2 linked regions of the Daphnia pulex genome follow. The protein of the gene in region 1 binds, or shares a complex with, the protein of each later gene. Links are inferred from orthologs where the notes say so. Each region holds a gene or a part of one and is shown on either strand. Other genes may lie near its edges.

The links. Proteins that work in one complex are often made in the same cells at the same time.
Region 2: 2-(3-amino-3-carboxypropyl)histidine synthase subunit 1-like (region 1) and DPH3 homolog share a complex: the UniProt entries of both Caenorhabditis elegans proteins name them as parts of the 2-(3-amino-3-carboxypropyl)histidine synthase complex. The link is inferred for Daphnia pulex from reciprocal best matches to the Caenorhabditis elegans genes dph-1 and dph-3.

What each region holds. Positions count from the first base shown.
Region 1 is NC_060028.1:7,506,115-7,510,218, forward strand, and holds the start of 2-(3-amino-3-carboxypropyl)histidine synthase subunit 1-like, read right to left. Parts: upstream 2,801-4,104; 5' UTR 2,704-2,800; coding exon 2,491-2,703; intron 2,423-2,490; coding exon 1,724-2,422; intron 1,666-1,723; coding exon 1,330-1,665; 3' UTR 1,327-1,329; intron 937-1,326; exon of another isoform or gene 934-936; 3' UTR 1-933. Other genes in the region: protein singed wings 2-like, read right to left, coding at 3,276-3,545, 3,607-3,720, 3,855-4,013, 4,082-4,104. UniProt on the Caenorhabditis elegans protein: Catalyzes the first step of diphthamide biosynthesis, a post-translational modification of histidine which occurs in elongation factor 2.
Region 2 is NC_060019.1:9,157,664-9,162,245, forward strand, and holds DPH3 homolog, read right to left. Parts: upstream 2,287-4,582; 5' UTR 2,182-2,286; coding exon 2,074-2,181; intron 2,006-2,073; coding exon 1,931-2,005; intron 1,800-1,930; coding exon 1,731-1,799; 3' UTR 1,251-1,730; downstream 1-1,250. Other genes in the region: eukaryotic translation initiation factor 3 subunit M-like, read right to left, coding at 2,536-2,888, 2,948-3,055, 3,111-3,268, 3,330-3,548, 3,611-3,765, 3,825-3,932, 4,169-4,210. UniProt on the Caenorhabditis elegans protein: Required for the first step of diphthamide biosynthesis, a post-translational modification of histidine which occurs in elongation factor 2.

The DNA of each region.
Region 1 (4,104 bases):
GTGTCCTACTAATTCAAATGTAAATGAGAGATTAAGCCACGAGATGATGGCAACGAATTTCGTAACGAACTACCAGGAAGTTATACATGCATGGAAGACGATGAATCACAAGAAAAATACAGAAAGAGAAGAAGGTAAAATTTACCTTTTTTTTTCGTAGAAGAACTTTTTTGCTGCTGTGGTTTTTGCTGTAGTTTCAGACTTTAGGGGTTTTCCTGCACGTGACATTGATCAATTGCGGTTGGAAACACTAGCTCTTATTTCGATACAATTTTTTTTGTTTCACCCGAAGGAGCACCTACCACGTATGTGTGTTTACTTCTAATAGATACAATCCCGTGTTTCGATAGTAATTTTCATGGGAGCTTAATTGTAGTGGAGAACCCATATTACTCACGTGAATCAGGCAAGCCTACATGTCAAACTGTTTTTAGTTTTTAATTCAAAACTGACCAGTCCTAGTGGGAGAAAAGCGCGCGCGCGCAGAAAGTTTATCGGATTTTAAATTAACCAGATTTTTGCTAGAAATTGTCAAGCACATCGAATGAGTCGAAGAGGCCCTGAAAGAACTTTATAAAGCCTGGGACAGAAATTATGTAGTAAATGAACATGAACATATGAAATAAATCAATGTTTCAAATTTCAATATCCTGTGTTCAACTCACATTATGAATTCGTCGATCAATGTTATACATAAACGTAATATTCTCGGTTTGAACATAAGAAAGAGAGATGCGGATATATTAACTAAAAGGTGCACCTATTGGCATCTAGTGGCCAAAACAAAAAGGATAAAAAGAGGGAAAATACAAAATTTTTATCTACCTGCGTTAGCAAGGTACTAACAGAAGGGCTGTACAGTCGGGTGATCCTAGCGATCCTAGGTCCCATTCCCCAAGAAAATAAGTGCGAGAGGTAAGTGCAGAAGAGGACCTACTATAGAATGAAAATTTAAGTTACAGCAAATAATCGGAAAAAAACATAACAAACAAATAAGATAGTAATTTATATGTCAAGTAAAATTTCTACACAAACCACACAATCTTACTGGTTAAAAATTTGCCTTTTTCACTCTAACCACCCCGCACCGTAAGAAACCCTTAGGGTAATTTGGAACTTCGCAGCAATTTTTTATACAAGTAAATCTTACGATTGGGAAAGGCAAATATGTTATTTACTTATAAAACATACAGTAGGACATAAGATTAAGGATTTGTCGATGTCAGCGCTAGAGTAAGTGAGTAACTTGTCTAAATGTGCAGTGCCGCAGGATGATAAATTGTTTTTAAATAACTTTCAAATTTTATTTAACGAAAAATTAATTACAATTCATTTTCTGTCGACAGTTTTTTTCTTTTCACATTTTGGTTTGTAATTGGGTGTCCATGCTCCTAAACTTTCATAGGCATAGAAATCCATGGGGTACGTGTCCTTCCATTCCACCTCTTTCAGCGCCACATTGATTTCGTAAGGCGTCAAGAGTGGCTTGGCAAAAGCAAGACCCCAATCAATTGAAAGTCTTGGGCATGCAATTTGAACCCATGCATCGACGCTGGGCATAAGCGCTAGTTTGGACGGAAATATTTCCGACATCAATATGGTAACGAATTCCTTGTTCGATTTCAGCACTTTCTCTTTGATTTCGTTCAGCACTTTTGGACTTCCCTATACACAGATATAATTATTCAAACATCTTAGAAAATATAAAGCTGAATATTCTTACTTGTCGGCCCAGTGTCCCTAAGATTAAACCAAATCTAGAGGCTTTTGTAGCTGTGTTTATGGCTGCTTTTCTGTTGGTCTTCATCTGGTCATGTTCATAAAACTCTTGCGTAAATTCTTTATTGTAAGGATCGTACTTGTATGCTCTGCAATCTGGATTCGCTATCATTGCCGATTCAAGATGAAATCTTCCGTCTCCAAGATAAATGATGACGTCTGTGTCTATTGAAGGAGACGTACAGCCCAGAATTTCGCCTGGCGACAATGGTGAAGATTTGGGTGTACTGGCAATATATCCTTCACTCTTAAGCAGCATCACCAAGCTCTGTAGTGAGGCCACAAACTGAATGGTACTCACAAATGACAATCTGGTTTCTTTGTCAAAGTTAAGCTTAATTGTTTCAATGAAATGTTGTGAATCAAATTTTATATCAACAAAAATGTAAAGCATTTTGATTCCACTAGTCTGATCCACTGGAATTAAACATGAATGTCCATAGTGAATCATTAAGTCAGCTCCTAGAGCTATGGCTGTTCGATCATCAACACAACAGGCTCCATAGGTAACATCCCCCATTATCACAGTTTCAGCTTGACAAAACTCTTCTATAATGTCTGAGATTGTCAAAGCAAACATGAGCAACCCTTCTGGCATTTGCAAAGCTACTCTTTTAGCCCCAACTTGGCGGATTCTCCACACCTGAACAAAAAGGCTGACATGAACAGAAATGCTTGCCAAGTGATGATACTAATTATGACTTCTCGTACCGTTTTATGAATTTCAAAGGAATAATTACTTGGAAGAAGTTCGATTGCTGCTGCTAATTTTTTATCGTTCAGTATGTCATCTGGAATCTGGTTCATAACCCTGATTTTTCCTGTCGTCGCACCATACACTTTTCTGTCGGGATTGGCTCGTGAGACCAAGGCTGTTTCAGCTATTTTATCTTTTGCAATATTATCTGGTGTCGTTTCTTCCATTTTGTTTCGATAGCTTCAAATCTTTAATCTTAAATTGCAACGAAGGAATGAACTTTTCAGAAATAACAACGTGTTGAGCAGCAGACGACGGAATATCTCCCAAACAAATCCATCTAGCGCCAAATTCGACAACTTTTGTTAACAAATTTTTAAAAATATCAGACCTGAAACTTTTACATCAAACAAGAACAAGAATAAAGAAAATCAAACTTCAAACACTGATTTTAAAATACCAGTCGCCAGCTGACTAAATTGTATTATTTCATGTTAAAAAAAAATTTTGATTGACAAGAAAGATGTGAGGCAACAAATAGACACACACGACACTGACGAATGAATAACCGGTAAAAAGGCGCTGGCCGCTGGAGCAACAAATAACAAGTAAATACGTCACAAAATTTTGCAAAAGAATAAAAACTTAATTTGTACCATGAAGTAGAACAAAATTTTATGAAACAATTGAGCTGCAAGCGCGAAATGGTTATACTCTATGCATGCACGTGTAAAAAATTAATATTTTGGATAGACCAGAGCTTTTTGACATATTTGTTTAAAAAAAAAACTAATCAAACTTATGGCAGTTTGCTAGCGATCCACGGTAGTTGCCCCGTCTTGCGATAAGCGTAATAGTCATAAAGGAGTTTGCCGATGGTAGCCAGAGTTAAAAGAGCCAAGATTACATTTAACACATCCATTAGATTTATAGCGTTGTTTCCCACAGTGCTGCAAACGCTGGTCAGCTCTACCGCAATTACCTTTTTGCCAGCGCTTTCCCCTTCTGCTGGGCCGCACGTGACATTGCTAACATCTTTGACCAGCTGTTTGTGCTTGGCAATAAACGACTAAAAAAGAATACGTGATTCGTATAGCAATTACTAAAATTGAAAAATCAAATAAAATTACCTGAAACTGGGTAATGGTAATGCAGTCACATTTCCAGGGATTGTTACTAAGAAGCATGCGAACGCCGTTGATGTCTTGATGATGAAATACATTATTCAGTGCATCTGTAGGGATCTGCAAAATAAAATATTAAAAAAAAGCTAGTCAATTTTTATTCCATTAAGCATTATAGAATCCCCCAACATTCCTCTGAACTCGACAGCAGATAAGAATACCTTAAAATTTTGAGGTAACTTTATTGAACTTACTTCTTTTAGAAGGTTTCCTTGAAGACTTAACAGACTAAACTGTTTGATCCAATCAGAATCCTCCAAGCTTGAAATTGATTGGATTCGATTATTGGCTAGATATAAAACAGTCACTCTGCTGTAGCTGGGATTTTTAGTTAGCTCACTTACATCTTCAATCTAAGGTAAGATTAGAAATTAAATGATTAAATAATTAATTTGAAAAGTGTTTCAACATTTATACTCACTCTATTGTTGCTCAGATCCATAT
Region 2 (4,582 bases), on another chromosome or scaffold:
TTTTGCGTCACTTTGGCGTTCCATATAGCAGACGTTTGTTTTTCAAAACAAGTCGATTAACGAGTAGAAAATTATTTTTGATACTTTAAGTTTGTATTTGCCATTTGGTTGTTGCTAAAGATTTTATACTTTTATTGCTCGAATATCGAGGTCAGTTTAAATATGAACGACTGTCCCTGTATGTGATGCAATTCTAACCATGAGTCGAGTTATAAGCCAAGCTCGAAGGTTTACCTTGCTTGCAGCTAAAAATCAATTTCGCCCCCACGCAAAAGTAAATACTATCCAGTTAGGTTCGTTGGAATTAATTCGTCGTTATTCTTCTTCAATTGATTCCCAACTCCATGATGAAGGTATTCAGGTGTAAACATTAAAGAAGTTCAATTACATACTGGTCAGATGAAAATTGAGTGCTTTGTTTGATAGGATTTGCCAAACTTAAGAAGAAGTCTCCCAAGATGATTACATTTAAAGATAAAATTGAAAAGCATGACTTGGATGCAAAATTAAACAATATAAGGAAATGGCTTTCTAAGGGCCATTTTGTTAAAGCATCCATCTCAAATGTTTCAAAAGATGAGAAAAAAGTGGTAATGGAAAATTCATAATAGTACTGTACCAAATTTATCATATTTAATCATTTCTCTTAACAATAGGAACAAATGTATAATGACTTGATGAAGGAACTTGCAAAAGAAGGCAAATTCAAAATGTTTAAAACTAGCAGCAGAGAAACTAAATTCAGCATAGAACCAATAGAGAATATTGAAACTGATGAGCAAAAGAACATAACATAACATGGCTAACTATTTCCTTTGATCCTAGTAGTTACAATACAAGTGGAAAGAAATTGTCACATTGACACATTCTCTTAAGTTTATCATCATCATCCTACAGTGTGATAAAATTCTTATTTCATGGTAATGGTAATCAAAGTCAACCTCTCTTAAGCTAATGGTTATTTTAAACATAGTTTAATTTCATTTAACTTCTAACATTAATCACTATATCAGTAATAGTTATTAATTCCCGAAACGTAAACGTTCATTAAATAACGTTCAATTAATTCGATTGAAAATTCCCGAGACCTTCGTAAAATTTCAAGTTAGGAAGTCCTCGCTAGATGCCGCACAGATCATTCTACTCCAAATGGTCGACCACGACCATGATCAAAAACTACTTCATAATAACAATCTACCCATAATTGTATACAGTATACATTGTAGGTACTGATGAAAATGAAAAATTCGTCAAGGAGTCGAGCTGCTTTTCTTCGATTTCCAATCGTTTTTGGTAAATTTAATTACAAAGCCATTGAATAGTAATTGGTTAAAAATTGTTTTCTTCATAAGGATTCATTTTGGGAACATTCTACATGGGGTTTCAATATCGGTGAGACATTGAAAGACTTGCTCAGTACAGAACTGATAAATCTCAATTTCATTCCAGCAAAGGAGATATTTGAATATTGTTTTTCATTTTAGGAAGTTGTTCATGAAAGACATAGAAGAAAAGCAAAAGGAAATGAATAAAGAAGATCCTAACAGTAGAGGATTGATCACAAGCTCAATTGGACAGATCAATCGTGAAAGAAGCAATAAGAATGATAAATGACAAGATTCATTTGTGATTCTTCATGGCAAATTTTAGAATGGACAAAATTTAATACACAAAAAAATGCAATTTCTGAAAATTATTCAATCCTACTTAAGTATACTAAAATAACTAGTTTATGTTGTGAGTGACTCTTTCTTATTTGGGGATGAATACGTGATTTCCTCGCTCTGCATGAATTCTTCCTGTATGTTTAAATAAATATGTCATTCATGAATGTAAGTAAATTTTAAAACTAAATATTAGACATATTGTGTAATGCTATACAGGCTGAAAGCCAGTTGCTTCCAGAACTTCCACTTGCTCATATACATACCTTGTTGTATATTACTTTTACTATAAGTGAACAACTCGGACATGTGGCTTCCTCTTCCCCATTTTCTAGCTGTTCCTGTTGAAATAAAAGTAAACCTTTTAATAAGCTTGGAATCTGAGTAAGGAATGGGGACGTCACATTACTTTGGTGATTTCAAACCGATCTCCACAAGGGCAAGGATAGAAGTAAATTTCACTGTCCGAATCATATTCAAAATCTTCGATTTCAACTTCATCGTGATAGACAGACATTTTCACCAAAAATTCTGAGTAATAAATAAAAGATTTTTCTCAACTACTGAAACAAAAATGTGTGGATCTTCAAAAGACAACACGTGAGAAAAAGAGACATCTGCCGGCCAAAAATCAGACTACCTGAATTAACTCACGTTTACACGTTGCATATAATAAGCATAATAAAAAAAGAATTTTTTTTTTATCTCCTACCCTACTTTCAAACAACAGTATGTTGGAAACAAAACAGAAATAATGATCAAAGTCTGATTTTGTCAGATAATGTGCCGGCGTCATCGTTTATTTCCACAAAACCTTAATAGAGATGGATAGCGGGATAATTTGAAGTCTTTTGTTTCTTCTCTAATCGGTTCAGGATTGCTGAGCGAGAAGTTCGGCTTGCTCGTTAACGATGGTTAGCATGGAATCTTTGACCTGTCTGAGGTGGCCTCGCCAAGTAGTCAGCAACTCACGCAACTGCTGCCAGTGCTGCTTGCCGAATGTCCGATGCATGGTTGATGAAACAAGCACTTTCTTGTTCAACTGATCCATTCGTGCGCGCACCAATTTCGTCTTAAGGACTTGAAGGACAAATTCCTCTACTTGATCTTCGGTTAGTTGTAATTGCTTCTCGAGCGTTTCGAAAGGGAGCTCTACGGAATTTTCAGCCAACTGCATGAAAGTCAAAATTCGCATTTTTCGAAGGTTCTGCTCATGTTTCAGACCTAAAAATCATTGTTACTTAAAATTCTTAAAAAAATACTTAAAAATTTCCAGTAAATACCTAGTCCTTCAACAAAATCTTTCTTTTCCTCATAAAACTTCAAATAAGCTGACAGCTTTTCCGTCACGAATACGGTCAACAGATCGTGCAAAAGGGCACCTTCCAAAACTGTACACAAAAATTAATTAATAACTGATTTAACTTCAAAGTAATTTTTATAAACCTTTCACAGGTTGCAAAGTCAATAAATGATCGAGAAGGAAAGTGTTGGGATCAGCCAATGAAGCAACAATGCAGCGTTGAGCTTCCTCACGAGCCTGTGAAGCATTTTCGGTCGTGTAAGTGCTCAACAACTCCACCATCACTTTGGAGGCCAGTTCACTGAATAATAACACTGGTTTGATTTATTGTTACAATTATTTGTTTAACTTCAATACTTTACCTTTCTCTGGAGTTGAGGAGAGCTTCATGTAAACTTCGGAGGAGTTTTTGCATCTGCTCGTTGTTAGGTTTGCATGGCCCTAGTTGAGTACGCATTTTATCTAGATCCGTGAACACTGTCTTCATCTGTTCCACTTGTCCAGCAACTTGGACTAGCGTGTGATAGACCGTGTAACGCGTTGTACTCACAGGATCAAGCCCATGAAATAGTACAGACAGACTAAAGAATCAAAATTATAGTTAGACAATTCATTATGTAAACTTCAAATTTCAAATGCTCACACTCTCAGACAAACAAGTCCCAACTTGTTTGAGGGGGGTTTTGCAAGCTTTTGGCAAAACGTAGTAATTATTGGTTCAGCTTTTTCATTGGGGAGAAGAACGAGCATAGATACAATGCTATTCAAGACTCCCTCAGATTCCACTTCATTGCCCTCCTTCAAAGAAGAAAATAGTGTAAACACACACTACTAATTGAAATAAAATTGTCACTTACTTTGAAACAGAGATCTGCAACAGCAACAATGTTGCTAAGATCTGAGTTTTGATCATCATCCACATTTGATGCTCCAAGAGCCTTGAAATAGCTACACAATTCAGTAGCCTAAAAAGACAGATATGAATACAATGACCAATTCAAAGCCTTGATGTCTTAAATTTTGTCTCAGTACTATATAACAGTTATTTGCTTTCTCCAGGTGGTAAAACAGGTATAAAAATTAGAAATACTAGTAGGGAAAATTGTCTATAACACAGAAAGGTGTACGCTACTGGCAGACTCCACACTTCATCGCCACAACAGTTTAGCATCTACCGGACTAAATTTATGGGGAAACTAACCTGTTCTTCGACCGTTAAATCGATAAATGCTGGTAAACTCATCCTGATAAATTGTTCAAAACAAACTGGAAAAAAAGATTCCTTTATTAGAAGTTGCTTGTCAAAAAAATCCGGATATAGGCCACGCTCACGATCCCGGTACAGAAGTTCGTCTGTAATGGCGACATTGCCACCGTGTTCCCCTACAGATAAATCAACGATTTTTTTTTTTTTTTAATTCTTTGTTTCAACACTTTCACGCTTTCCAAAATTTTCTAAAACCAGTTCTTGATTTTTTAAAATTATTATTAAAAAAATTACTACCTTTTAAAATTGCAGCATAAAAGATCACCACATTTGTTATCGCTGTTATCGGCTCACTCGCAATTTCTATCTAACTTGACGTGTTGCGGTGTTGGAAGAAACAAACCGAAT